Diceros bicornis minor: one gene and its partners. The protein of the gene in region 3 purifies or fractionates together with the protein of the main gene of each other region. This does not show direct contact. Links are inferred from orthologs where the notes say so. Each region holds a gene or a part of one and is shown on either strand. Other genes may lie near its edges.

What was found.
Region 1: the proteins of PPP2CA (region 3) and CCT5 purify together in Homo sapiens (affinity purification with mass spectrometry; 4 studies listed by BioGRID and IntAct, with this or other methods). This does not show direct contact. The link is inferred for Diceros bicornis minor from reciprocal best matches to the Homo sapiens genes PPP2CA and CCT5.
Region 2: the proteins of PPP2CA (region 3) and ANKLE2 purify together in Homo sapiens (affinity purification with mass spectrometry; 4 studies listed by BioGRID and IntAct, with this or other methods). This does not show direct contact. The link is inferred for Diceros bicornis minor from reciprocal best matches to the Homo sapiens genes PPP2CA and ANKLE2.
Region 4: the proteins of PPP2CA (region 3) and PRR14L purify together in Homo sapiens (affinity purification with mass spectrometry; 3 studies listed by BioGRID and IntAct, with this or other methods). This does not show direct contact. The link is inferred for Diceros bicornis minor from reciprocal best matches to the Homo sapiens genes PPP2CA and PRR14L.

What each region holds. Positions count from the first base shown.
Region 1 is NC_080759.1:53,832,474-53,839,563, reverse strand, and holds the start of CCT5 (T-complex protein 1 subunit epsilon), read left to right. Parts: upstream 1-4,075; 5' UTR 4,076-4,125; coding exon 4,126-4,230; intron 4,231-6,984; coding exon 6,985-7,045; intron 7,046-7,090. Other genes in the region: ATPSCKMT (ATP synthase subunit C lysine N-methyltransferase), read right to left, coding at 3,679-3,694. UniProt on the Homo sapiens protein: Component of the chaperonin-containing T-complex (TRiC), a molecular chaperone complex that assists the folding of actin, tubulin and other proteins upon ATP hydrolysis.
Region 2 is NC_080774.1:431,048-438,264, reverse strand, and holds the start of ANKLE2 (ankyrin repeat and LEM domain-containing protein 2), read right to left. Parts: upstream 3,016-7,217; 5' UTR 3,001-3,015; coding exon 2,814-3,000; intron 1-2,813. UniProt on the Homo sapiens protein: Involved in mitotic nuclear envelope reassembly by promoting dephosphorylation of BAF/BANF1 during mitotic exit.
Region 3 is NC_080740.1:53,370,275-53,377,558, reverse strand, and holds the start of PPP2CA (serine/threonine-protein phosphatase 2A catalytic subunit alpha isoform), read left to right. Parts: upstream 1-4,275; 5' UTR 4,276-4,511; coding exon 4,512-4,613; intron 4,614-7,284. UniProt on the Homo sapiens protein: Catalytic subunit of protein phosphatase 2A (PP2A), a serine/threonine phosphatase involved in the regulation of a wide variety of enzymes, signal transduction pathways, and cellular events.
Region 4 is NC_080774.1:25,087,681-25,095,472, reverse strand, and holds the start of PRR14L (protein PRR14L), read left to right. Parts: upstream 1-4,775; 5' UTR 4,776-4,879; intron 4,880-7,792.

The DNA of each region.
Region 1 (7,090 bases), on a different chromosome or scaffold from region 3:
TTAGGAAGGTGCTAGTGTTTGAGAGAAAGCAAGAGTTTTAAAGACTTTTTTTTTTTTGTGAGGAAGATCAGCCTTGAGCTAACATCCATGCTAATCCTCCTCTTTTTGCTGAGGAAGACCGGCTCTGAGCTAACATCTATTGCCAATCCTCCTCTTTTTTTCCCCAAAGCCCCAGTAGATAGTTGTACTTCATAGTTGCACAGCCTTCTAGTTGCTGTATGTGAGACGCGGCCTCAGCATGGCCGGAGAAGCGGTGCGTTGGTGCGCGCCCGGGATCCGCACCTGGGCCGCCAATAGCGGAGCGCACGCACCTAACCGCTAAGCCACGGGGCCGGCCCCTAAGACATTTTCAATTACACTTTCCAGCATTGTATGGAGGAACTTACATGCTACAGTAGTAATCATACATTTGATTACTTTTTTTTTAAAAGTCAAGGCACACATGTCATGCCTGTGTAAAATCATCCTGTAAGCATTTCAACTGTAGAGTCGAGTCGCCAGGGGACTTGAATCACACAATCCTGGAGTCTCAGAACCTTATTAGTTGTGTAAAAATACATAAGTGTTGCTAAGACTCGGTTTTCTCACCTGTAAGATTTAGAAATAATACTATCCTCATGGGGTTATTGGGACAGCTAAATAAACAACGCAGATACAGCCCTTAGCACAGGCCTGAGGGAGTAAGAGATGATTATTAGCCTTTATTATTCTCAACACTATCATGAGGGAGTGGCTCAATAATTTTTAATACCTTTATTGAGATGTAATTTATACACCGTACAATTTTCCTATTTAATGTGTACAATTCAAAGGTTTTTAGTATATTCACAGATATGTGCAACCATCACCACAGTCAAATTGAGGACTTTTTCATTACCTCAAGAAGGAAGCCCTTATCCTTTAGCCATCACCCCCACCACCCTCCCCCTCACCCCCTAGGCCCAAGCAACCACTAATCTACTCTCTGTCTCTATAGAGTTCCCTAGTCTGGATTTTGATGAATGGTATCATATAGTATGTGGTTTTTTGTGACTGGCTTCCTTTTCTTAGAATAAAGTTTTCAAGATTCATCCATATTGTACCAGGTATCAGTAATTACTCCTTTTTATGGCCGAATAATACTCCATTGTATGAACAGACCACATTTTGTTTATCCATTTGTCTGCTGATGGACAGTCTCTCTAGTCAGCATAAGCCAGTAGACAGTTGACTAGACAAACATGAGTCAGACAATCCAAATTCTGTTTCACTTGTATAGACACGTACTCTTCAATTTACCCTGCAAAAGATATAATAAAGAGCTCCTAGTGATCCAGGCCCCCATCTAGCCTGTGTGAGTGATGGGGTCCATTTGAGACAGTTACAAGGCAGGTTGTGAGAAATGCTCTAACATGAACAAAACGCTGTAGGAATACAAGGGGAGGTAGAGGAAAGACTGATCCCAACAACGGAACCAGGAAGGTTGGCAGAGACAGAATTTGAGCTGGGCATGAGGGTGTTGGAAAAAGCGCATTCTCAAAAGAAGGACGCCTTGGAACCAAGGCATGGAGGGTGGGGAAAGCATTTGCGGAGCACAGAGTGAGAGATACAACAGGAAGGCAGGGGACATGCGGATGCCAGGCAAATTGTGTACTTTATTCTTGTGCATTGGGATGAAACTTTTTGAGCAGTCACTACAATACTTGTGTTTTCTAAGAAAGGCAACACCAGCAGCAGTGTGTCCCTTGATGAAATCACTGAATTTTCTCTCAAGTTTTTATACCTGCAAGTCTTTCAACTTCACAAAAACTTGTATAAGCTTTTGAAGACGTTACTACGTAAATCCAATTTTTTACTATATTGTTACCTCCATTCAATAAAAAATGTACTGATTTTTATCATTGAAAACCAGTCTCTAAAGATTCAAAACTAAAATCAAGACTATTTCTACAAGTTTCGAACCCTTTTGACGGAACACAGATTCATAAGACTATTTACTATGGTACAAATAAATGACATAAGACCTCTGTCAGATCTGCTCTGACAGTGGCCACTGGCTTTTTTTCTTGAGTGCTCGGAGGGACTCATGCCTTGAAAATAAAAAAAGACCCAAAGAGGTGAACTTCTGTTGTGTCGGTAGTGAGTTTTGATAATGGTTGAAAATCTCAATTTTCAGCGACAGATTTGGGTCAGCTAAAGCTAGAAGCAATTACAGATGTACAAAAAGGTACAAAGGGTTCTCATCCAAGTTCATGCCAAAGGAAAAAGATCAGGAGGAAAGAATAGGCCTCTTTGGAATTGTGACCTGCCACACGTGCTTAAAGTGGGGTTTATATTTGAATGTCACAATGTTAAAGGCTGTTCATTGTTCATTTGCATATGCATGCCAGTTCAGTAACTACAGCGTCTATTTTATGTCCCTTTAACATATTTTTTTTGTCCCTTAAGAAGCATTTCCCGTACTGGTCTAATGTCATTGGTGTCTTTTCGATATACAGCACCTATTAATATTAGGAAAAACTTTTTTTGCGTGTTTGGACAGGAAAAAAATAAACTGAGCAAAGAACATCATTAGACATTTCCCTTACTTCACAACAATCTAATGAGCCAAATGGATTGCAGAATTCACCATTTTGAAGGAGGAAACACTCAAATTCACCATAGAGTGAAGTGAGACCTGACTCCAAGATCTAAAATGTCCTTAGAGCATCACTCCAGGTTTAGAGGGTAAAAGGGCCAAGCATTAGGAAAGGTTAACGGATCACCAACCATCCAGTGACAAAGCCAGTTCTCGCCTTAAGGCCAGGGTCAAATGTTATTACCCATGCACTGATTTCATAGGTATGACACAACAGGGCAAGTTCCTATTCTATGGCAGTTGGGGTGCAGGAAGGCTGGAAACCTATAAACACAAGCTTGTAAAATATTAGGTCGTGATCAGTGCTCTAAAGAAAGGATTTAGAGGACGGGGTACTACTTAGCTAGGGTTGCCAGGAAAGATCTTTCCGAGGGAGCACAACGCAGGGCTTCCGAGTGGAGCCCTTAGGCAAGGCTGTGCAATTTTGCTTCTTACCGGCTAGGTGTGAGTGGAGCCCTTAGACAAGGCTGTGCAATTTTGCTTCTTACCGGCTAGCTGTATAATCTTGGGCAAGTTACTGGACCACTTGTGCTAAACGGGGATTTCTCTAACAAACATTTAGAGCTTGCTAAGGGCCGGGCACTGTTCTCCCTGAATCCGTACAGCAGCTGTGTAAGGTGGACACCATTGTTATCATTACCATTTTTGCAGACAAGGAACCTGCGGCAGAAAGAGATTATGTCACCTCCCCAAAGACCCAGCTAGTTAAGTGGCAGCAGGGATTCCAACCCAGACAGTGACTGCAGTACCCCTGTGTCTTAAGATCGCGCTAAGGATTGAGTTATTCACCCCAAAGCGCTCAGAACAGTCCCGGCAGCTGGATCCCGAAGCGCCAGCGAAGCGCCGCGGAGGGGGCACCGGGCAGCCCCGAAGGGCGGAGGGCGCGGCGGCAGGAGCACGGCGCCCCGAACACCAGACTCCGGGCCAGGGCAGCGGCCAGCGGCTCGCACGCCCGCCCGCACCCGACACGGACGGCCGGACGACGAAGCCCCCACCGAGCGCGACCCCCACGCCGCGCCCGCCCCCAAGCCCACGTTCCGCGCTATGCCCGCCGGCCTCACCTCCGCCTCCCTCCATCGCGAGAGTTCCGGCAGTTGGGGGAACCCGGAAGTGGATTCTACCATCTTTTCGGAGCCGGGGAGAGAAGGAGCGAGTAAATAATGCTCTCAGTAAATGAGTTCCTCCTTGGGACCCGCTATCCAGAAACTCTCCATTGTATAGCTTTAAGAAATGACTAAATTCGAGCTACTCTCGGCTTGTGGATTCTAAAGTTCCCGTCCGTGTCTTCGCACTCCCCCCCCACAGCTTCCTGGATGATACAAGTTTCCGAAGGCCGCTGATTCCAGAAGGTACTGTCTGGCGTTAAACTAGTCTCACGCGAAAAATAAGTCTCACGCGGCCTGTACTGCGCGTGCGCGAACTGTGCCGCGCTCCCGCGAGAGGAGGGTGCGTTCTCCGTTCGGAGTGGTCCTAGCCGGTTGCGGAAAGGTAGCCGCTGCTGCTGCGCCATGGCGTCCGTGGGGACCCTCGCCTTCGATGAATATGGGCGCCCCTTCCTCATCATCAAGGATCAGGACCGCAAGTCTCGTCTTATGGGACTTGAGGCCCTCAAGGTAACGGGACCGGGACACACTGGCGCTGGGAGAGGGGAGGCGGCCGAACCCGGGCTCTGCGCCTGCGCGGGCCTGGGAGCGGGTCTGCCATGTGCTCCCGGGAAGGCCGGGGGAGCCCCGCTCCTTGAGCTCGGGGAGGCCGGCGGATAAGCCTTTAGCCCCGAGTTGGCGGTAGGGTGGAGCCGCAGGCACCGTTCAGAGCCGGTGGGGCGGCTTCAGTTCCTCGGTTCCCCGGCCCAGCAGTGTTGTCGTCAGCAGGGTGCAGAGAAGGTAGTCTCAGGTCGCCTGGCCGGTGCAGGCTCTGCCTCCTGACCTTCCCTGAGTGTCCCTGCAACAGCCCTAAGAGAAACGGAGCCTCATCATCTTTGTCACCTCCCAAAGGCGTAGTCATTTACCAAGTACGTCTGGTTTGAGCACCTTTATGTGTGGCGTATTCCTGGATGCCTGTCGTAAAAATAAAAAATAGACATCCTTAAGGAAGAAAGGACTAGCGCAAGAAGGAAAAATGGACACCAGTAAGCGTCATACCGGGCAGCGTGTGATTAGAATCGCGGTTATGGGAGAGGATGCAGATAAAGTTGGAGGGTGTCCTCCAGACTGGGTAGAGGCCGGCTTCTGATCAAGGGTGGAGTGATGTGTTGAATGGGAGAGAGCCAGGGTTCTGGGGGAGGAAACAGTAAAAGCGAAGACCCGGGCAGGAAAACGGGGCGGCGCGTTGTAGGGCGAAAGAGCGGTCTGGTTTAGGTGGAGCGTAGTCTACTTTAAGTTACAGTAGTTCCCCAGAGTGGAAGCTCTTGAATGCCCCACAGTCAAGATGTTGTTCCATGGGAAGGAGGGGAGCCGTTGAGAGAGTTTTGAGCATAATCGTAATTTGAGTGAAGCTGTACGTTAGGAAGTAGCATGTGGGGTGGGCTGGAGGAAAAAAGGAAGACCAGAGGCGTTAAATGCAGCATAGCAGGAGTCCAGGTGAGGAAGGGTCATCTGAACAGACGCTGACGGGAAACACGGAGGAAGGGACGCTTTGAGAGGGCACTGACTTCTTTAGGGTTTGTTATAAAGTGGAAGAATCCGTGATGTTGGTGTGGATAGGCCTTGTCACTGGGTCTGAGGTGTCTCTGTTCGTTTAGGGTCTTAGTGCTTTACTTAAATTAAGAAACAGTACAGTTCTCCCACAGGCTGGTTGTTTGAGAACAAGTTACACAACCTCTCTGAACCTCCTTTCTCAGTGAGAGTGTGCACCTCTGTCAAGCTGAGGATGAGAATTAAATGAGGCTAGTTTAAGGAGTGACCACACAGTGCTTGAATGATGGTGGGCGCTCAGGCCGCTGGTATTATTACATGTTCAGGTCTATTTTTCACTTAAAGCGAACAGCACAGAAAGTAACATCCAATATAATAGTACCCTGGAAGCTGCAGGTTATTTTGCATTAGCCACTGTGTTAACCGCTTTCCGTACGTTATTTCATGGTATCCCCACACTGTGAGTTAGGTATTGTTGCGCTGTATTGGAAACGGCCTCAGAGCAGTTAAGCAATTGCTTCAAGTCGCAGGGCCATGATTGAAGCCCCCCTCTGTCTGACTCCAAAGCCAGTGGTCTAGAGCAGGGCCTCAACCTTGGCACTACTAACATTTGGGGCCAGATCCTTCTTTGTTGTGGGGCTCTGTCCTGTGTAGGATGTTTAGCAGCATCCCTGGCCTCTGCCCACTCTGTGCCAGTAGTACCTCCCTCGCCAGTCATGACAACCAAAAATGTCTCCCAGGGGCCAAAATTGCCCCTGGTTAAGAACCACTTCCCTCTGATTATTACCTCTTAAAAATTCCATTATACAGACATATCAATCCAAGTATATTTTGAGGATTACCAGTATTTTCACAGAGCCAATGAACTCTGTCTTTTGTCACCTGCCAGGTGAGTAACCAGGGACAGCTTCACAGAACATGTGCATTTGAACTGCTTTGAAAGTTGGTCAGGATTTTGGTGGGGACAGGGCCTTCTGTGCATCACTACCTCAGGGATCAGAGGACATGTTCCGGAAACAAGAATAGACCATCCTCGCTGGAAGGGAGCTAGGTCTCAGATTGCAGAGGGCATTGAAGACAGAGCTGAAGCTTTTGGACTTGAGTGTTGAGGCGCTGGGGAGTTGTTTAAGGTTTGGGACTAGTAAGCAACACCCTTGAGAAAAATGGGTGGCTTAGCTGGATGTAGGATGAATTTGAAGGATGGGAGGTGAGATAAGAGACCCTTGAATTCTGTAGGATGCTGTGGATCTGGGTTTAGGTTGGTGATGGCAAGAATAGAAAGAAAGGAAACGACATTTGGAGGAAAAACGGGTATAATTATGTGTGGGAACAGAAAAGGATGCTTTCAAGCTTCCAATACTTTCCGTGTTGATAACCTTGGCAGCTGACAGGCAAGGGTGACTCTAAGGTATATGGGTTCTGCGTTGGCTTGACCGTTTGAGAGAAGAGTGCGTCTCTGCAGTAAACCGTAGTGTGACAGTTCCAGGTGCTGCGTGTGTACAGCTGGACTCCTCACGTGATGTTAGCCTTGCAAAGTCCTACAAGGCCTGTCAGGTCAGACTGCCCCTGCTCTTGGCTGTAAGGTGGGCGGTAGGAGAACCTGCCTCATAGATGTATTGATTCTAGAGAACAGGAACTATGTCATGAGTGTTTTTTATAATCATCAGCTGTATGCATTTAACTATTAAAATTATATGTACTTGAATATTTGTTTTTTCTGTCTGCTTGATTTAGTCTCATATAATGGCAGCAAAGGCTGTAGCCAATACAATGAGAACATCACTTGGACCAAATGGTAAGAGTCTCTCATTCTGTGTTGTTTTAACAAAAGTTTTAAATC
Region 2 (7,217 bases), on a different chromosome or scaffold from region 3:
TGAAGCTATTTTATGTGTCCTCAGCAAATAAGTGGATATATTGTGGCTAATGAGAGCCAGGTTCCTCACTGACAGAGAAGGGAGTTACAAATAAGCAGAGGGGGAGGCTAGAGTAGGGGTTAGCCAACTAGTATAAAGGGCCAGAGAGTAAATCTTGAGGCTTTCTGAGCCATAAATTCTCTCAAACGCTCAAGAACAGCTATAGACAACAGAGTGTGGCTGTGTTCCAATAAGACTTTATTTACAGGCCAGCCCCGTGGCTTAGCGGTTAAGTGCTCGCGCTCCGCTGCTGGCAGCCCGGGTTCGGATCCCAGGCGCGCACCAACGCACCGCTTCTCCGGCCATGCTGAGGCCGTGTCCCACATACAGCAACTAGAAGGATGTGCAACTATGACATACAACTATCTACTGGGGCTTTGGGGGGAAAAAAAAGGAGGAGGATTGGCAATAGATGTTAGCTCAGAGCCGGTCTTCCTCAGCAAAAAAAGAGGAGGATTAGCACGGATGTTAGCTCAGGGCTGATCTTCCTCACACACACAAAAAAAGACTTTATTTACAAAAATAGGTGGGGGCCAGATTTGGCCTAGCAGGCCATAGTTTGCTGACTCTTGGGCTAGAATTGGAAGTATCTGCAGGACCTCGATTGACTGATAGACAGAGACATTAAGATATAAGAAATTGAGTTAGGTCTGCAGATGGGATAATGCTTCCTGGTTTTCCTACTTATAGTATGATTATGTAGGATACTAACATTGGCGAATCTAAGTGAATGGTATACAAGATTTCTTTAACTCTTTATTTTGAACAATTACAAACACAAAAAGTTGAAAAATAGTATTGAGAGGTCCTGGGGACCCATCACCTGGCTTCCCCCAATGGCAACCTCTTACACACTGTACTGCATTACTCAAACCAAGAAACTCACACAGCACAATGAAGCAGACCATGCACCTCATCAGTTTCTGCAGTCACTCTTTTCTTGTGTGTCTTTGTATATAATTCCATGACCGCTTATCACACATACAGATTCATAACCAATTACCGAACTGTTCCATCACCACAAAGATCTCCCTACTGCTGTTCCTTTATAATTACATCCAATCTCCTCCACCATCCTCCACCCCTGGCAACCACTAATTTGTTTTCTATTGCTACAATTTTTTTCATTTTGAGCATGTGATATAAATGGAATCATACACTATAGACCTCCTGGGATTGGCTTGTTTTACTCAGCATAATGTCCTTGAGATCCATCCAAGTTGTTGAGGGGATCAACAATTCCTTCTATTTCAATGCTGAGTAGCATTCCATGATGTGAATGTGCCAGTTTGTTTAACCACTCACCTCCAAGAGACATCTGGGCTGTTTCCAGTTTTTGGCAATTACAAAAAAAGTTGTAAACATTCGTATATGGGTTTTTGCATGAAAATAAGTTTTCATTTCTCTAGGATAAATGCCCAGGAGTGCAGTGCAGGTTTAATTTTTTGAAAAAATGCCAGACTGATTTTAGAGTCGCTGCACCTTTAATAGTTTCACCAGCAGTAAATGAGAGACCCAGCTTCTCAGCATTTAGTAACACTGGTATTTTTTATTTTAGCCATTGTAATAGGTGTGTAGTGATATCTCATTGTAGGTTTAATCTGTCTTTTGCTGCTGGTTCGTGATGTTGAAGATCTTTTTACATGTGTTTATCTGCTTTGTACTATTTCTATAATTTTTTATAAGTCTAAAATGCTTTAAAAATTAAAGACAAATTTTTAATGAAAAGAGACACTCCAAACTCTCATCTCCTAGCCCCATACCCTATTGGCCACAGTCGTCCTTTAGCTTTAGTGTCTGGGTACTTTTTAGTCTCCGTGTCCTGCACTGAATCTGTTGACAGTGTTGACAGTGTAAGTGGAAAATCAGCACGCTATTTACTAGAGCTGCCACTTAAAACATTCTTAAGGGGATGAGAGAAAGTACAACAATCACCAACCCAACAGGACGGAGGGCCAGCTGGACCTGGTGTGAACAAGCCTACATCCCCGGCTGGCCTCAGCCTCCTCCTCGTGTTATCTCGGCCACACCCTCCTGGGGCCTGTTTCCTCAGCTGTAAAACCAGAACATGATAAATAAGTCACCCCAAGGACCCCTTTAGCCCTTAGATTCCACGGTGAGGTCATCAACTTTGCCTTCTGCTAATAAATTTCATCTTACTATCCTGAGACTAGAGAAACTCCTGTTTACCCTGCAGAAAGACACGACATTTTCGGGCAAGAGAGTGAACGAAATGTGAACGAGGACGCCCTGGATGCACGCAGGGCGCACACCGCCTGTAAGCCTGTACACAGAGGGGTGAGCGGCGCGCAAGAAATAAGCACAGACTGCGGGAAAACGGAAGAGGGGCTTCTCAGTCAAATCAGGGATTCAAACACAAGCGAACAAGCAGAACTGCCGAGAGACTCGGCACCGGAGCGTCCAGCCTCACAGCTCTTCCACGGTCTGTCCGCTGAGAACGGCTGAGTTTTACCCCAGCTCTTTTCCCAGAACATCACACTCAGGCCATTGCGAGGGCCCAGGGCGGCGAAAGGAGGAGGACTCGCAGAGGGAGGAAGAGAGGGGAAGGGAGGGGCCCAGGATAGCGAGACAAGGGGGGCCTGGGGAGGAGGGGAACGGGGAAAAGGGGAGGAGGAGGGCCCGGCGACGGAAAACGACCCGGGATGACGAATGAAGGGGGTCTGGGGAGAGGAGGGGAGAGTCTGGGAGAAAAGGAGGGGGACCGGGGAGGGGAGCCGGCGTGGGGCGCGGGTCCACTAGCGGACGGGCCTTACCTGGGTCGGGGGCCGGGCCCGCGGCCGCGCAGAGCAGGGGGTCGCGGACCCCACTCCGGCCCAGGCCCCGCGGCCGCTTCTCCAGCCGCCGCACCAGCCAACGCACCGCGATCAGCAGCACCGAGGCGCCCAGCAGCTCCCAGGCCAGCGCCGCCCACTCGGCCGCCGCCAGCTGAGGCCACAGCATCGCCGCCGCCGCCGCCGCCGCCCGCCCGGCCGCCGCCGCTGCCGCTGCCGCCGAGGAGGCGCGCGCCCTCAGGACCCCGCGTCCTGGGCTGTCCGCGTCACTGCCTGACGGCGCCCCGCCCGGTGGCGGCCTGCGCGTGGTCGGCGCTCACGCGCTGGTCAGGGCGCTCGCCCTCGCGCCCGGCGGCCCGTCGAAGGACGCGGCCACGGCCCCTGGCGGCGCGGAGCGCAAGAGCGCACCGTCAGGCAGTGGCGCGGGCAGCCCGAGACGTGGGGTCCAGAGGCGGGCGGGGCCCAGGGGCGAGCGGGGTTCTGTGGGCTTGTGGTCCCCAGGCGGGCGGGGTCCCCAGGGGTGCGGAGTCCTGAGGGGGGATTCTGGGAGGCGCGGGGTCGCCGGGACGGGGTCCCGGGTGGGAGGGGGCTGCTCGCCGCGCCGGGGTCGCCCCGGGGGGACGGGTGAGGCAGGGCCGGTGACGAGCCCTGCAGCCCCGACCCCGAGGCCCCTCGTCGCGTGTCCCTCGCCGCCCCCGAGGTGAGGACCGGGGCCCGGCGCCGACACCGACGTTCCCGCGTGGGCCGCGGCGGGCAGCGAGGCGCCGAGCCGGCAGGTGAGTCTGCAGGTCGGGAGGGTCCGGGAGGGCTTCAGCCGGCGGCCAGGCCTGCGGGTCCCCTGGGAAGGCCCGGCCCCGCCCCCGGGAACCGGGACTGCTCCGCGGGGTCAGAGCGGCCGAGGTGTGTTTTATTTTTACTGACACTTTCAAACGTCGCAGTGTCTGCTGCTTGAGAATTTAGAGACGAGTTTCTCCGTGGGAAGAAAGCAGGAGACTTTCCAGCCGCAGCGTGTGCTTGGGAGAAATGTTTCCTGTTAACTTTGCAGCTTTTTCTGTCTGGCTTTAGCTGGCCTGTCGGATTTTATTTTTTTAGTCTGAGTTAACGTATTTTCTCACTACCCTGGCCTTGGGGACACGGAGGGCTTCCCGGAGGGATGGATGGAAGCAGCTGTGCCGAACGTCTTACCAGGCTCCATGCCCTGTGATCCCATTTGTCTGACGTTCGCGCGAAGGGACAGGGAGCAGAGCAGTGGTCGCCGCGGGCCGGGGAGGGTGGACTGTAAAGTGACCTGGGAATTTTAGGGACTGATGGAAGCACTCTGTCTTGATGGTGGCGGTGTTCACCCAACTGCATATGCTTGTCAAAACTTTCAGGTGTGTACAATAAAAAGGGTAAATTTTACTCTTTGTGATTTATACATTAACTTTTAAAATGGAAAAACAAAGACTTAAAGAAATATAATTGACATCCTTGGTAAAAAGAAAAATTTATTGGATGGTCGATTAACAGTCGATTGGGCACAAAAGAAGAGAGAGTCAGTGAATTTGAGGATGAGTGAAATGCAAATTAAGCCACAATGAAATACTCCTTTACACTCACCAGACCAGTTAAAATTTGTCAGTCTTCTAATTTTTGGTGAGGATGTGGAGGAATTTTGGAATTCTCATAGTCTGCTGGTGAGAGTGTAAAATGTTAACCACTTTGGAAAACAGTGAGGCAATTTCTTTTCAAGTTAAACAGACACCTCCCTCTGGCTTAGCATTGCAGCCCTAGGTATGCAAATGGAAGTCCACAGAATGTTTATAGCTTTATTTGTAATCGCCGCAAGCAGGAAACACCCAGGTGTTTGGATAAGAGGATAAACCCCAGATGAGAGGATAAACAAATGTGGAATCGTCATAGGATAATGCTGTGGTGGTATACTGTTCAGCAACATGGGTAAATCTGAAAACCATTCTAAGCAAAAGAACCCCCACACAAAAGTACATACTATAAGATTCCGTTTACAAGAGTCTCAAGAACAGGCAAAGCTTATGGGGGTAGAAATCAGAACAGGGTGCCTCGCAGTGGGGTGGTTAACTGGGAAGTGGCACGAGGGAACTTTTAGTGTGAAGGAGACGCTCTGCATCTTGCTTGGGTTGATAGTAACACAGGTGCACATTGGGTGACATTTGTCAGAACTCACCAATCTGTACACTTAAAAGCTATGCCTTTTTTAGTGTAAATTTTGTCTCCATTTAAAAAGAAAGAGTGCCTTATTAGAATGAAATCTTACCGTTTGTTGTTGTTTTTAATTACTAAGGACCCTGAGAACAGATCTCTGTCCCCAGCCGCTCTCCAGTTTTGACCTTTTTATAAATATGTGTCATTGTGGCGTGATGAGAGCACCAAGCTTTGGGTCAGTATCCTGTCTGCCTCCTACTTGCTAGGTAACTGGGTGAATTAATTTCCCTGTGCGTCAGTTTTCTCAGTGGTAAAATTGGGGCTATTAATTACACCTATCTCAGAAGTGAGGATTAGTATGTGCCAAGTCCTTGCTACAGAGTCACCACACAGTAAGGGCTTAATAAATGTTAGCTGTTATTACTGCTTTTATAGTTTAAATAACATAGAAACTTACATATATATATATACACATGCCTTTAAGGGGTAGCAGGGTCCTTCCTCATCATAAGGGATTTTGTTATAGTAATCATAAATCCCAGTAGTTCAGAGAGGAGAGGACTGATTTGAGAGATTGTGAATTGTGGTAGAGGCTGTTGCCGGCAGCATCCATTCTCCATTTAATAACAGAAACTCCCAGCTGTGGCTGGACACGCTGCTGTCTAGCTAAAAGCCACATCTTGTGGCACAGTGACTAAGTGAAGGCAATGGACAGTGGCGTTCGCAGCTAGTGACTTGCACCCTTGAACGAGGGCCTGCAGCGTGCCTTCCGTGTGGTCTTTCCTTTCCACTTGGGAAATACAGACAGGAGGCTGGGACCTGCAGCAGCTGTCCCAGGCCACAGACGGAAGCTGCACATTATGCAGAGAGAGAAGCCACTTTTGTCCTCAGCACCGTGAAGCTGCCACTTGGTCCTGTTTCTGTGCTTGGGCTGTTACTTGAAAGAGAAGCTTCTCTCATTTCAGCCACTGAATTTTGGGGTTTCTTTTAGCGGCTTCATTAGCCTAGTCAGTATCTTAATACCAGGATTTTCTGTGGAATCCAGCTAACAACAGGGATCCTATTATGGCTAGATCCTCACCACTATCTAATGCCATCTACACTCGATTAAACAAGACTGGAATAATCAAGGGGGAAGAAAAGGAAAACAGTTCCACTGTTAGGAAGCCAACCCTGTTGTTGGCCACTATTTACCTTTGAGGTGGAAATGAGAGCATTTGAGACGTAAATCCTTGCAAGGTAGAAATGGGTTTCCAACGAATGAACAGAAATTAAGCTTAAAAGAATTGATGGTCTTTTCTGAGAGGAGCAGGTTTGATCTAATTCCTAATTGTAGTTTGTCTAACTCCTACCCTAATCCCCAACTCCATTTTTGACACCAGATCACGAGAGAGCCAAGGGACCAAGTCAGCCCCAGTGATTGAGTGGAGAGGTCTAGTTTTCACATGGATCTTGAATATCCTTCAACAAGAGAAGGAAAAGCATGTGGAGGTCCAGCCACATATGATGTATCATAAAGTGGGACTCTAGTCAAGAGAGCAGCCCATACCAGGTGATTCAAGAGGGAACTGTAGTCCTGGGAGTGATAAGGGACAGCCACAGCAGGAAGCCACTGTGACCCTCGGAGGAGGGCACAACAGAGCCCAGAGATAGAGAAGATGCAGCCATTGAGGAAGACTTGCTGGCAGGGGAGCCTGGAAATGTCATTTGCAGATTAGCAAAGGAGTTCTTCTCCACAAAAGTGTCAGGTTCTTGCAGAATTTTAAGAGATCTTCAATAAAGGGTAGATATTATTTACTCCTAATTCATAAATCTGCTCTATCAGCAGTGTTCTGTTTTGGTTGACTATATGTAGCCACCATTTCTACACCAAATTAGCAAGGAAAGAAATCTCCCAATTGGTGTTTGTTTACATGTCTCTAAAGTCACTGAAGTAGGCTAATTAAGGCTCATCTCTTCCATGGAATCCACTGAGTAGGGTAAGAGATACTGTCCTCCAGCCCTGGGTGCCCTATGATCTAATAGGAGAAATAGGGACTCTCCACAAATAACTATAATAAAAAGAAACATGATGCAAAATGGTATAAACTTAATTCCATATATGTAAATGCACACAGGGAAGGATCACTTTGAGTTGGGAATCAGGGAAGGATTTATAGAGAGACCAGCTGAGTTAGGTCTGTTTTCTGCTCACTGTCGCATCTCTAGGGGACAGCGGTGTGC
Region 3 (7,284 bases):
AAGATTTTCTTTTCACAATTATGAAAACAATGTTTTCATTATAGAAGAATCAAGTAAGAAAAAAGAAGAAAATAAAAAACACTCACCAGATGCAACTGCTGTTAATACCTCACTGTATCTTTCTAAAGTCTCTTATTAGCATATATTTATAATATATATTTAATAAAATTAGGGTTATATCATACATGCTGTTTTATAAGGTATTTTTTTCACTTAATATATTGAAAATAGTGTCCTATGTCAATAAACATACTTCTGTGGTAAGATTTTTAATAGCTGCAAAGTTGGTGACAGTATTCCTAAGGTTTACCCAGTGTTCTGGAGTGATAAACTTTGCATTCCATTTCAGAGATTTTTTTTCTGTAACAGAGGAAAACATTTCTGCTGTAACTGAGAATGGTATCTGGACATCATGGACATTACCAAGGGATGTGGTCATCTCTCTCTCTCTTTTTTTATTTAGCCAAACTGCAATAGCTGGGAGAAAGAGCTGTATTATATCTGTGACAAAGTTCCTGGCCACAAAGTCTTTGCCATATCTATAAAATTCTAATTTCAGGTGAAAGGGCAATATAAGTTTATTTTTTCTGACAACCACAAAGGAGAGGAACAGGGATAGATACCAATGATTTGCAAGCATCATTGCATATCTTGAGTGCAGACATCCGGTGTTGGGCAGGCCCAGTTGGCCAGAGCCTGGTAGGCTTCTCATGGGTAGAGCCACTAAAATGTTAAATAACCGGGTCTTTATTTTGGGGCTTCAGGGGCATAGAAGGCCTTGGTGCAAAGAGCATGTTATCAGATAAGTCACCCTTTTCAGATATAAGATTTTGAGCCAACAGGAGCATAAGACTGACCCACTGTATTAATTCTTGGACTTATTCCTAAGTGACTTTCTCTCTACACAAGCCTTCTGAATGTTTTCTTGATGGCAAGGGAATAGAGGGGGTGTTCTTTTTGTTCCATCTCTCCCTCTCTTTCCTTGAATTTCCTCCTCCATCCCCACTTCATCAAATGGCTTTGTGTCTGTATGATGTTTTAGATACAGTTATATTCTATTTCCAAAGACCACTATGTATTTCACAGCAGGTATTGATGGGCTGCAACTGGCATTAGAGGATATTTAGGATCAGAGACTACTTAGAAATAATAATAATAATAATAACAACAACAACAACAACAATAATAATAATATCTAATACTTACTGGACATTTATTATATACTGTTTGGTGTTGTACATTCATAATTTCATTTAATTCTCAGGAGAACTCTATTATTTGGCTATTACAATTATCCCCATTTTATAGACGAGAAAACTGAGACTCAGAAAAGTTAGGTAACTTGCCAGATTTCACACAGCTAGGCAGTTGCAGAACCGGAATTTAAACCAGGTCCATCCCACTGACTCTAGAGCCATTTCTCACCTACGTGGCTCTACTTTCTGTCTCAGTAAGTTTAGAAGTCAGGGAACTGGAAGGAACAACAACAAAATAAACCCAACATAAGGCCAAGAGAATTGCTGACAAATAAGACACATCTCATTCCTTCTCCATGTTTAATGTCAATTTTTATACCTTGGCTACGAGTGCCCATTATGAAGCCATTTGCTCATGGCTGTCTTCTTCCTACCCCTCCCCCATCATCAGATGATTTTTATTTATAGCTATATTTGAACATCATAGGCAACACTCAGACTCGCTGTGTACTGAATTTGCCATCCAAGCAAAGATTCTTCCTCAAAGCATATTTGCTATAGTCACTCCCTGGTTTTTGCCAAGAAATTAAAAAGACCGTTCTTTTTGGTTTACTTTTAACTTTTTGTTCAAAGCATTCCTCAGCTTTAGAACTGAGACAGTCAGGTCCAATTAGTTTAGACCAGATTAATCAAACTGAATTTTCAGATCCATTAGCTAGTTTGAGTTCCAGAGAGTAAGGAAACATTTTAGTTTTCTTCTAAAGGAAAAGACATTCTGATTTAGTTCTGTATTGTTTATAATCATGTATGCTTTACTTCACTGCTTGAATGCTAATAAGAGCTTCCTAGAACTCATTCCTTAAGAATTTAAGTCATAGCATCTAATTATTTGGCAGGATGTTTTAAGTATATATAATTATATCTTCCCTTCATTTTGTAGTGGTGGTGAGCCAAGTAATCTGCATCAAGAGAAAATAAATAATACCTCCATTAATGCTACCAATAAGGAGCTCACAGCACTTCGGAAAAACCCACTCATTATAGTCTTAGCACATAGTGGGTGCTCAATACTTTTTAATCTACCAAACTAACATCATCCCCACCTTTCCAGATAAGAGAATTCAGGCAAAGGGAAGTTATATTGACCCTGTTCCATATTGCAGTCCTTGGAGGTCAGTTGTGTGAGTGTGACTGAAACCTTGCACTGGGAAGTTTGAAGTTTTAAATCCTGACCACCACCGCAGCCTTGGGCAAGTCACCTCTCTTTTCTGAGTGCCTGAGTGCTTCCTGCCCTCTGAGACAGGACCAGTTCTCACACAGGTACCGGGCAACAGTGAAGAACAAGACAGGATAGCACACTGAACATGGCTTTATAATCATGGCACCAAGCTACATTTTTTTCCTCATTCATTCTACATGGTCTCAACTCTTACTCCTTTATTACTTGGGGATGTTAACTGCAAAACATGGTCAGAATTTGGGCTAAAAGAACTTCTTTCCAGCCTGGTAAATTAAGTATAAGCCTTTTGGGGATTAGATCTGAGGTGCTTTCTTCTGGGCACGCTACTGATAAATACGAAGGGAAAGCAGAATTGCAATTTCCAGCCCGGGAAGGCCAAGCCAGTCGGCCTCGCCAAGCAGGTTGTCTTGGATAAAGGAGAATTTTCAGTCCTGCCACTGGCTGATCTGGGCATCCACGGCCTTCTGCAGCCTGTTGGTCAGGAAAATGCCCTCAGAGCTGCAGCGAGCACTACTCTCCTCCAGTGCATCCCTGAGCGCTTGCGTGCGGCAGGGTCGCCTGCTTTTTGGGGTAGGGAGTCTAGAAAACAGGGGACCAGGTTCGGCTCTTGCCCTACGTTTTAAGGTTAAATGTCCTTTGAAAAGCTTCTCTCTCTCAGGTCTTGTAGACATCACAATCTCTCTTCTGCCTATCTGTCCCCAGACCGTTTTTAAGCAGTGCTATTGGGAGAATACAAGCTACACCAGAGCAGGGAACCTTGACTGTTTGGATGACCTCTGTCTCCCAGGCGTGAGATCTAGCACCTAGTTGGCGCTCAACAAAGCCAAATATTTCTGTGAATGCAGAGTCAATGGAATGTGAAAACATTTCGCAAACTCCAAAGAGATTCATAGCCAGACCGTGGTCGGATCCTAGGGTATCCGAGCTTTCTTGAAAGTGCGGATCGTAGCCGCTTCGAACACCATCCGGTCGCGGTTAAGACGAGTGTGACCATCTCCTTACGGCCTTCCCTCTAGAAAGCAGGCCAGGGAGGGCAGGGGTTGGGGGGGGAGGGACGCCTCTCATTCCCAGGAGGAACCGAAATCGGAGGAAGGCGAACACCTGGGGCTGAAGGCGACAACGAGAGAGGCTGCGCGGGGCGTGTGGCAGCCAGGCACGGTCCGAGGCCCAGAGAAGAGCCCAAGCCTCAGCCATCGCGCCCGACGACACACCTAGGCCCGCGGACAGGTGTGTGCCGGGGGAGTCAGGCGCACCGTATGGCACTCCCGGGGCAGGTACACCCTCCTCCGCCTACGAGCGACCTAATTACAAGGCGCTGGCCGCGCCCAGAGGCGGAGGCGGCCACTCCAACCACTCGGCGCCGACTCCTGCCCCCAAAGATGAGGGAATCCCACGCAATTCGAGCGCTGTTGCACCACGGAGGACCCATGGGGTCGCCATCCTCGTTTCCGCGACCTGGCGGCAGTCGCCGGGTGACGACCCGACGCCTACCACCTTAGGGATAAAGTCTCCGGACTGCGCCTGCGTCAGGCCCGCGCCCGCGCCGAGCAGGACGTAGGGCCCTGGGATCGGCCGGGTTCCCGGCTGAAGCACCGCGCTTGCTCTGACTCGGTCTTCCCTTCCCCCTCGACCCCTCCCTTCTGGAGGACCACGCCCTAAAAGCGAAGGTGCCTGTTACCAGCCGGCTACGTTGCGCCTGCGCCTTGGCCCCGAGTTCCCGCCCCGACTCGGGTCTGGCGGCCGACCAGGGTTGGCTTCGCAGTTGCGCAGCCGGTGTCTCGGCCCTGCTGCCCCTCCGCACCCCGCCGCCTCCTGACGCCGGGCGTGACGTCACCACGCCGGCGGCCGCCATTACAGAGACCGAGCTCGCGGGCTAGAGTGATCGGAGGAGGGCAGCGGCCGGTGGCCGAGCACTGCGGGGGGAGCCAACGGGTCAGCGCTAGCGCCGAGCAGCCACCAGCCGCCACACAAGTACCCCGGGAAGCGGCAGCGGCAGCGGCGTGTGCGTGTGGCCCGTGTGCGGGCGGCGGCGCGGGAGTAGCGCGGAGCGGCGGCCGGTTCGGGTGGGTGGCATCATGGACGAGAAGGTGTTCACCAAGGAGCTGGACCAGTGGATCGAGCAGCTGAACGAGTGCAAGCAGCTGTCCGAGTCCCAGGTCAAGAGCCTATGCGAGAAGGTAAGCTGCACTCCGGCTGCGCGCACCGCCGCGGCCGAGGCCGCCGAGGAGGAGGCGGCGGCGGCGGCGGCGGCGGCGGCGGCGGCGGCGGCGTCGGTGTCGGTGTCGGTGTCGGTGGGGAGGTGCAACATGGCGGAGGCGCCGGCCCGGGCCCCCCGAGCCGCCCAGACCGACGCCCGGCGCGGCTCCCGGGCGACCCGGCGCCCCCTGCCTCCCGCGCAGGGATTGGTTGTCGCCGCCTAAAATGGCGCCGCTCAGCCGGCTCCGGGGCTTCGGAGCCTCCGGGCCTGGGCGCTGGGCGAGGTGGCGGGGTAGCGGCGACCGTGCGTGTCGGGGTCGGGGAGGGTTTTGAAATCCGGATAGATCGCTTGGGTTCTGCGGCCTGGGAATGGGACCTAGGACTCGCCTGTGAGGTGGGTAAGAGGCTTTCTGCTTGTACTCAGGCCTGATATTTGGGTCCAAAGCTGTCCAGAGGGTCCCCCCAAAGGCAGGCTTGTAGGCCAGATCCCAGGACCTAGCTAAAGGTCACACAACTTTAGGACTACCCTGGGTGGTTTGTGTTAAATTCATCGAGCAGTCTTTTCCAGAGACTTATTTAAAGCGTGTTTTTTAAGAATTTAAAAATGAATTTCTAATCTAATTTCTACGAAGGTCATGGTGGTAGTTACAGGGAAGGAGTATAGTTTATTTTTCAAAGTTGGAAGAAATGGAGAATTTGGTGAGTCATACTTAATAAGGAGCTTTGGGATTGGAAATCAAGTGTCAGTTTAATCTATGGTTTATATGCTGACTCAAATTGGGTAGTGTGAAACCCTTCTTTAAGGTTAATGTACTTGGCATTTTGCCATTTATTTTTTAAAATGAGCAATATAAACTAAGCAGTAAATTTTATATCTTGGCTCTTTGTTGGAAAAGTTACTTGTTTGTATTTTTCTGGCTTTAAGTAGTAGTAGCAGCAGTAATAATAGCTGTCGATTTACCGCTACTGTATTCCAGACATTGTGCTTAGTGTTTGAATAATTTATCTCACAGATGTTGAAAATAGAATGTTGTAATCCACTTAATAAATCCATTTTAAATTATCTAATTCTGTTTTGTTTTTCCCTAAGGGTTGTGGAAACAGCCTATTGAGCTGTTAGCTATGCTGTATTTTTGAAGTCTTATAACTCAGTTTTCTAAAGTATAGAAAATGCTATCTCCACTATGAATATTTTGACTTTCCTTTTCAAAATTAACTTTGCAGCATTTCGTTTTAGTACAGAATTGTGGAATATCAGCATCTCATATTAGTGAAGAGAGTTATTAGAGAGCAATTCTGCTGACTCGTTTGTGGTTTGATGTGAAAATTAGGTTCATGAGTTTGATGTATATGCTCCTAAAACAGGCTTTTTCAGCAACTGTGTTGTGATTAATTGCAACTTAAGTGAGTCAAATTCAGATTTATTTATCCCAAGCCTGAACAAAACTCTCCTACTAGTGGATGAGGTGACACATCATCTCCTAGAGCCGAATTTTAGGGGTAGCGTGTACTCTTTGTTGCTTCTTGACCCTTAATTCTCTTGCATCAAGTGAGGATGGTATTTGTTTTAAAGGTTTAGAAATAGGCTTTTAAAAATTATTTAATGTATATTGTTAGGTCTTAATTTCTAGGTACTATAAGTGCTGGTTTTAATGACTTTTAGAGTTTAGTACTTACTCTATATAAAGACTGAGTCAGCAGTTGGCTAGATGACCAGTCATTTGTGTAGAAAACATTAGAAGAGAGGTAATGATGTAATTGGGAGACCACTGGACTTCAAGTTAGACCTGGACACTAATCCTCTTTCTGCCGTAGAGTGCATAATTGTGACTGACCTTCGGGCAACCACTTCACTTGCTCCACATTTTCCTGTCTGTAAAATAAAGAGTTAAAATGGATGTTCCAGGGTCCCTTCTAATTTTCTGAGATTATACAATTCCATTGTAAATTAGAACTTAGTGTATAAATATTGAACACCTATTGAATATCCAAGATTGCTTACTCTTAGGAATGAAAAGCAATGAAGAATAATCATACTTAGTCTCAAGGTGACTGAATCTAGTTGGCAATTGATAGTAGACGGACCACAGAAGTAGAGGGTTTGTATTGGAGACTAGAAGATAACTTTGGATGTTAAGCTGGGGTGGCTGAAGCTTTGATGCTTCTGGTAAATATTCACTGTTTCCCACATCTTTGTAAAACGAAGATGTAGTGCGATTAATTCATGCTTAGATCTCCATTGCTCGTCCAGTGTGTCCAGATTTTAGTTCTTAGAGCCAAAATGATGGAAATAATATTTGAAGTTAGGTTTCCAAGAAATGGATCCTTTTGGGAGGATATCACACAGCTTTCATACTGTTTTTAACTTGTATTTCAACTTTTGGAACTATATTAACTTTCCAAACTAAATTAATTTGAAGGCAGCTTTTTAGGTATGTGGGATGTTAGGATGCATGACTTGAAATAATCTTTTGTCCAAGTTTTTCTAATAAAACAAAAGTTCTCTTTTCCCTGTTAATATTTGTATGGCCAATAGCACATCTGGTGAAAGCTACATATTTTGAAAATCTGGAGGGAAAATTTTTTTTTATTAGTATAATAGTTTTTTCTTTCTTTAAAGAAGAGATACTTGTTAGGGATAGCTATTTGGTG
Region 4 (7,792 bases), on a different chromosome or scaffold from region 3:
ATTTCACAGCTGAGGCCACCGAGGCTCAGAGAGGGACAGAGACTCGTATAAGGTCACACAGCGGATTGGCGGCGGGGCCAAGACTCGATCCTGGAACACGGCCCCCTCCCTCACGCTCCCCAAACTCGGGCCCGGGCGGGCAGCTCCACTCACCGGCAGCTGCGGAGCCCCCTCCCGCTTCAGCCCGGGGCCCTTGCGCCTCCTCTGGACACCCCGTCTACGCCCCCACAGTCCGAGGGGCTTCCGTGCCCGACCTCGAGACGCCGCCCGTCCAGCCCCAGCCCCAGAGCGCTCACCTGAGAGCCCGCGCCGCTCCAGTGGCTCCGCCCATGGGGCCCCGCCCCCTTCTCGCCCCCCCCACCCCGGGCCGCTCTGGCCTGGCCTCCGCCTCATCTCGGTGTCCGCGCCACTTCCCCATCCGGGACTTGCGCCTGAGGCGGGGCGTGGCGTGCGGCCTTTAGCTTCTGGGGCTGGCTGCGGTTCCTGCTCGGGGGTGGGGCTGCTGCTCGCCCTCGAGAGGAAGTCCTTTACGTCCCAGACGTTGCGAAATAGATCCGAGCCCAAGAGTTTCGTTTTCGACTCGGTGACCCCCCCCCCCCCACCAGGGCGAATTCGGGCGAGTCTCCCCGGATCTGTAAAGGGAATGTTCTGGACCCTCGCTTGGCCTCACCAGGCTGCTGAGAGGCACAAAATAATGTTTCTGGGAGAACGTTTGTAAGGTGCAAAGGGCTGAGCACGTGCAACTTAGTGCAGTGGCCTCTGCTGGGAAATACCCACTTTGGGGGACTTTTCAAATCCTTCCAAACCCCAAATGACGTTCTGTGCTTCGGCTTATTAGTAGCTACCATAGCTTTCACAGACATCTTTATGTAATCGTCACATCCCTATTACGTGGCAGATACTATTGTGTATTTACAGACAGGGAAACAGGAAACTCCTCGAAAGGAAGCAAGGACGAAGACTGACCTGGAAGCAAGGACGAAGACTGACCTGGTCGAGTCCAGCTGGGTTCCCAAGGCTGAATGTTTAACCAGCATCTTCATGTCCACACCCAAGGGCTCAGCCTAAGCCGCTATCTGTTGGGACATCTTAGAGCTGCGTGTGCTGTGCCTGCAGCTGGCCAACGGCTCCTGACTAGTTGCCGACTCCATCTAATTGACCTATGGTTTTCGCAAAATTTCTGAACGTTGAAAGAAAGAAGCGTGGTATACCACAGGGATACTTGAGAGTAGGCTCAGGGGGCCCCTGAGGTAAGACGAGTAAGAGCTTCCTTAAGCATCCATGTTTTTCTTTAGGATTCAGAAGTTAAATAACTATTAAATAATTGTAATTTTTTATATTAAAGAAAAACATATAATCAAGAGGACTGCAGCAGTTACAAAAACTTTCAGGGATAAAATGTTAAACGTAAGACACATTTTTATGTTGCCAGTTCAGGGGACACACCCAGATCCCGGGGCTGTGTTCTGTCCTAGCAGCAGTGGCTAGTGGGAAGTTCTTCCATCCCAGAGGGAACTAACGGGATTCTCTCTCCCTGACCCTCAGAGGAATTTGATTTCTTCTCCTGAAAGATGTCCATAATTGGTGTCATATCTTAGAAATGCAAAAATTTCACTTTTGTGGGTGTGTGAGGAAGATCAGCCCTGAGCTAACATCCATGCTAATCCTCCTCTTTTTGCTGAGGAAGATCAGCCCTGAGCTAACATCTATTGCCAATCCTCCTCCTTTTTTTCCCTAAAGCCCCAGTAGATAGTTATATGTCATAGGTGCACATCCTTCTAGTTGCTGTATGTGGGGCGCAGCCTCAGCATGGCCGGAGAAGCGGTGCGTCGGTGCGCGCCCGGGATCCGAACCTGGGCCGCCAGTAGCCGAGCGCACGCACTTAACCGCTAAGCCATGGGGCCAGCCCCAAATATTTCACTTTTTAATTTGGCAAAAACCTGTAAAAAACCTTGGCAAGTTTTGATTTTTTGTTTTTTGTTTTGTGAAGAAGATCAGCCCTGAGCTAACATCCATGCCAATCCTCCTCTTTTTGCTGAGTGAGAGTTTTAAAAATTGTCTAATGCTGGTCAAGGTTAGGGAAGGCTGGAGCTGGTAGCTCCCAGGCTGGGAATCCAACGGCCGTGGTTCTACAGTCACTGTGCTACAACCACGTGCATGACTGCCTGTTTTTAGCTGTGTGGCTTTGCACAAGATACTTCTCTTTTCTCAAATTTCTCCTCTGTCAGATGGGAATGAAAAGTACACGTCCTTCGTCCTTCACAAGGTGTTTGAGGGCCAAATGAGGTGAGGGACATGTTACATTAGGTCTTTGAAATTAAAAGAATTTAAAGTGCTATATGAAGGTAGGGTATTAGTAACTAACCCAAATCATGGAATTCATCAGGAAACTGGCTCTCCTCAACTTTTAGGAGATTGAATGATATGTATGATGTTTCTTTTGGACCCCTTTGTGCCTAACACAGAGCTAGGAGCAGGTCTGGGACTAGGGTGAGGTGGGGAAGGGTGGTGAGACACTTGCTGTAGGGCACAAAATGTTAAGGGGGGGTGCCAAAAAACTCAGTGAGCAAGATGAATATTTATTTAATGCAATATTTTAAAAATCAAAATTAATACTAAAAATCCATGATGAACAAAATATCACATTTTTAAATAAAGACAATACCAATAATGGTTTTGTGCAGTCATATTAGAGCCTGAGGCAAAAGGATAAACCAATAATAATGGGTTTCTCAGATCCCCTTCTATAGGCATGTAGTTGCCTGAGAAAGTACTTGAGGATGTGCATACTGTAAATGTAGAATATATATATATATATTTTTTTTTTGCCTTTCTTCTTGGTGAGGAAGATTAGCCCTGAGCTAACATCTGCCAATCCTCCTCTTTTTGCTGAGGAAGACTGGCCCTGGGCTAACATCCAAGCCCATCTTCCTCTACTTTATATATGGGATGCCGCCACAGCATGGCTTGGTAAGAAGTAGCTAGGTCTGCGCCCCGGATCCATACCTGCAAACCCTGGGCTGCAGAGGCAGAGTGCGAGAACTTAATCACTACGCCACTGGGCCAGCCCGTAAATGTAGAAATGTTTTAAAGTGAATTTCTAGTCAGTTCATCCCAACAGCATCTGTGGTAGCCAATATATGAACTGTACATGTATATGGACGATATATGGACTCATACAGGCTGTAGACAATAGGATTGGCATTTGAGTTTGTCTATCTCCCGCCCTGACTAAAGCTGGGAAAACCACTCTCTCAGCCAAAATGGTCCACATGTTGACTGTCTCAAAGATATATTGATCAGAGAAGAGAGAATTAAAATCTCCCAGAGACCTCCAAACCTCTAGCTCTCTAGTCAGCCAGGTTAAGGTCCAAGAAGCAACTGATTTCTATGTTTAACACAAGGCTGTGTGATTTGGGGCAGCTTGATTCCATTCTTGGGACCTCCTCAATTCCCTCTTTTTTTTTTTTAGTATTCCTGAATGCTTTTATTTTTTTTTAATGTGCAGAATTTTTTTCTTTAATTTTTTGTTTATTGTAGTAACTGGTTTATAACATTATATAAATTTCAGGTGTACATCATTATACTTCTATTTCTGCATAGATTACATCATGTTCACCACCCAAATACTAATTACAACCCATCACCACACACATGTGCCAAATTATCCCTTTCGCCCTCCTCCCTCCCCCCTTCCCCTCTGGTAACCACCAATCCAATCTCTGTCTCTATGTGTTTGTTTATTGTTGTTATTATCTACTGCTTAATGAAGGAAATCATACGGTATTTGACCTTCTCCCTCTGACTTATTTCACTTTGCACAATACCCTCAATGTCCATCCATGTTGTCACAAATGGCTGGATTTCATCGTTTCTTATGGCTGAGTAGTATTCCATTGTGTATATATACCACATCTTCTTTATCCATTTGTCCCTTGATGGGCACTTAGGTTGCTTCCACGTCTTGGCTATTGTGAATAACGCTGCAATGAACACAGGGGTGCATGAATCTTTATGCATTGGTGTTTTCAAGTTCTTTGGATAAATACCCAGCAGTGGAATAGCTGGATCATATGGTAGCTCTATCCTTGATTTTTTGAGGAATCTCCATACTGTTTTCCATAGTGGCTGCCTCAATTTCCTCTTGAATAACAGTCTTTTCCTTCCTTCAAATGTCTGTTGAGTTAGTCTACTTGTGCTGGACACTGTACTAGGTGTTGAGCATAGAGTGACGAACAAAACAGACAAGGGTGGGAAGGGACGAGGATCAACGAGTCAGTAACGACATGAAACAAAGCAATTTCAGCTAGTGTTAAAGCTAAGAAGAAAGGAGCATCTGGAGGCAGATTGGTAGTCAGTGAGATTAGAAGGAGCAGGGGAATGACAAGACCTAAAGCACTGATTCCACTTATAAAAAGATGTTTTGGGTTGCCAGAGTGGAAGACGAGAGGCCCCTAGAGTTGCAGCCATCCAGGCCAGAAAAATGGTGGCCTGGGCCAGAGTGGTAGCAGTGGAGACACACTCTGAGCCCTGGGGCTCAGCACGACAGGGTCAAAAAGTATGTTCCCCTTTAAGAGTCCGGGCCGCAGGGGCGGGGCCTCGGGCCGCTGGGGCTGGCCCTAGGAGTGAGCGCGCGCTGTGCGGGGGCGGGACGTGGGCAAGCCCGCATGGCTGGCTCGGGCCCCGGATGAGGAAGTGCGCGGGGGGGGGGGGGGGGGGGGGGGGGGGGTGTTAACCATAGAGACGAACAGGCGGTGGCGGCCGGAGCGCCCCCGGGCTCTCTCAGCTCCGTAGGCTCAGGTAGACTTGGCGGCGACTGGGCTGCGGCTGCAGAGCCCGGGCCGGCGGGGCGAGCGCGGGCCGCGGAGCAGGCCTCAGGGTAAGAGGCCGGGGGCGGGAAGGCTTCGGGCATAGCCGCCCCGTCCCACTCCACCCTGAGGGGACCCTCCACTGGGCAATGCAGGCTGAAGGGGAGCCCGCCCCCCCCCCCCCCCCGGGGCATCGAAGGGAACGAGGCTGCTTTGCGGGCGGCGGAACGACCCGCGGAGAGGGAGGAGACCAGGCCCCGCGTCGCGAGGGGGAAACGGCTTCTCCGAGTCATGGCTCCGGCGGGGAAGAGATACTCCCTTTCAACCTCGATGCGGCGGGGGACCCCCAACTTTTCTCCCCGGGGAGGATGACGCCCCTTGTCGTGGGCGTACGCTCGTCCTCAGCTCCCGTGCATTTGTCGGCAGAGGGAGACTCGCTCCCGGGGTGCGAGAGGGCGATTCTTAACTTATTAAAAGAGGGATAAGAGATAACCCCAAACAAGACCTTTCCCCCGTGTTGGTCAGCACCCTCCAGGTGAAGAGCGAGACTCAACTTGCCTAAAAGTGGCAGAGAGGATCATCCTTCCCTGTAAAAGAGAGACTTACCTCTCCTCTTTTATTTTTCGCCTTTACCCCGAGATATAGAGGAAGACCCTGAATTTACTTTATAGTGTTAGAAGTCAGCCTTTCCCTCCTCCCCCAATCATGTCCACAGAGGGAGCGTCGCGCCTCTTCTTCCCTCAAGTCTCTTGGTGTGCAATGAGCTCCTTTCCCTTGCAGTTACGAGCATGGCGTTTGGAGTGTGATAGTTGCAAGCCTGGGTCTCCCACTTCCCATCTTTGTGACCTTGGCTAATTGTTTAACCTTTCCCAGTCTCAGTTAGTCCATCTCTAATTTGGCTACTCTTTTCGTAGAATTGTCATAAGGGCTAAAGGAGAATTTGTGTAAGTTCTTAGTACATAGTAACCTTTTGGTAAACTGTTACTGTTACTTAATTTGTTTTTTTAAAAAAAGGAAACTAGTATCTTCCACAGAGAAACATGTTTTTCCATGCATGTCTCCTCCCATCCCTCCCCACCCCCATCACAAGGGTGCAGCCCATCCTTTCTCACAAGAAAGGAGACTTTTCCCCTGGGCTGGACAAGGAGGCACTTCTGCTACTTTTACGTCCTACCATACTCCCCAAATTAACATAGAGGGCCTCAATTAGAATAATCAGGAAAAAAGTTTTGTTTTTGGAAACAGGTCTGTACTCCAAGAGGGAAAGAGACCTGATACCAGAAGCCAGCGTTTCCTTTGTCCACAGAAACTATCACTTCTTCCTGACTGGATTTTCTCCCACTCCCCCTACTTGCTCTAGTGATGAAAAAGCTTCCTTCTATCTGCACACCCCTCACCCCCAAAGAGGAAGATTCCAGCTTCTTTCTCTTGCTCTCTCAAGAAAAATAAGAAAAATAAGGCTCTATACCTATGAGAGGAGGACTCTTTCCTGCTCTATATTTATAGTGGCACAGATGGTTTCTTTTCTTCTCTTCCTTTGAAAAAGAAATGAAAATCTTTTATGCAGTGAGTCTTTGTCAGTAGAAATTAGGAGCATTTTCACTGTTCCACTCCGCATGTGGAGATAGAAGGATCCTTTTTCTGCAGGCTCATAAAGAGAGGAAAAGGAAACAGTGTATGATGCTTTTGAGATTTTCTGCACACTCCATGTTGAAGAGCTAGGCCCTGTTTAGTATGTGGACTTCTTTGCGGCACTTTGTTTGTCTAGAGATCTTGTTAAAAGATTCTTCTTTCTCTGTCCCTCAAGAAGAGGCCCCTTCTCCGAATTCTTTCATGGAGGGATTGGCTACAGTGTTCGAATCTTTGGAAAAGAAAGCCCCTTTCTCAAGGTGAAAGGATTGTTGGGAACTTCTGAGGGCCTGATCATTATTGTCAGTATTGCCCCTTGACACAAGTGTGGCAGCTCCCAGTGTTACTAACTGTTCTTTAAGAGCAGCCCCTTTGCATTGGAATTAAAGGGAGGGGAGATCTTCCGACTTGGGATTGTTGGGGTACATGGTTTTGTGTTCTGCTGTTTTCTTTGTTTGATTTTTTTTTCTATTTTTTGCTTATTGCTGTAAACTTTGTGCCCCCAGAACTTTTGTTTTGGGGAGTATTTGAACAGCTAAAGTAAAAGTTGCCACTTTGTCATGTTTTTAGTCTTAGGTGTTCTAATGGGATTGAGAGCTGCAATGTTAATCTTTCACTGGTAGTTTGGTTTTTGTTGTTTTTTTTCCCCTTGCTTTTGTTATTTGGTGGGATAAGAATTAACGCCAAATTGCCTGAAGACACATGAAAGAAAAGCTTTCCATCTTTTTTGTATGTAAAGTATTCTTAAATTACCCCTTGGATGCTTGCAATGGGGATTAGTCTGAGCTCTGTACCACCATTGTTGGTGTCTGTAGGTGTACTTTGCTGAAACAAAGTGAAATAGAAAAGTTATCATTTAGAGTCAGAGGATTTTTATGGATGGCAGGACCCTTTGACATTATTTTGTTTACCTTGTTTATTTTACGTGTGAAAAACAAGACCAGGAAAGTGAAATGACACAGTCTAGGCCATGCAGCTAGCAGGATAGGGACCCTGGTCTCCTGACTTGGACACCAATACCTAGACTGCTTCCCAGCACGGCATCTACATTTGAGACAGAAAGATCTTGAGATGATTGTTCTCAATTCAAAAGAATTTCTTCTTTTACTGGAGTAACTTTACCTAATACTCTCTATAAATTTATAACGTCTTCTTTTTTCAGGAATAAATTCCTTCCCTAAACAATCTAATTCCCATTTGTGTTATAGTAAAGATGACAAGCCAGTAGCAGCTGGCAAGAGTTGTTTGTGAATCTATGGTTTATTTTTTGCTTATACCTCAAACTAGATAATTACTTGGTGTCCTCACCAAGTAGGTTGGTTATAAGTCATTAGGGTTAAGCTGTAAATCCTTGT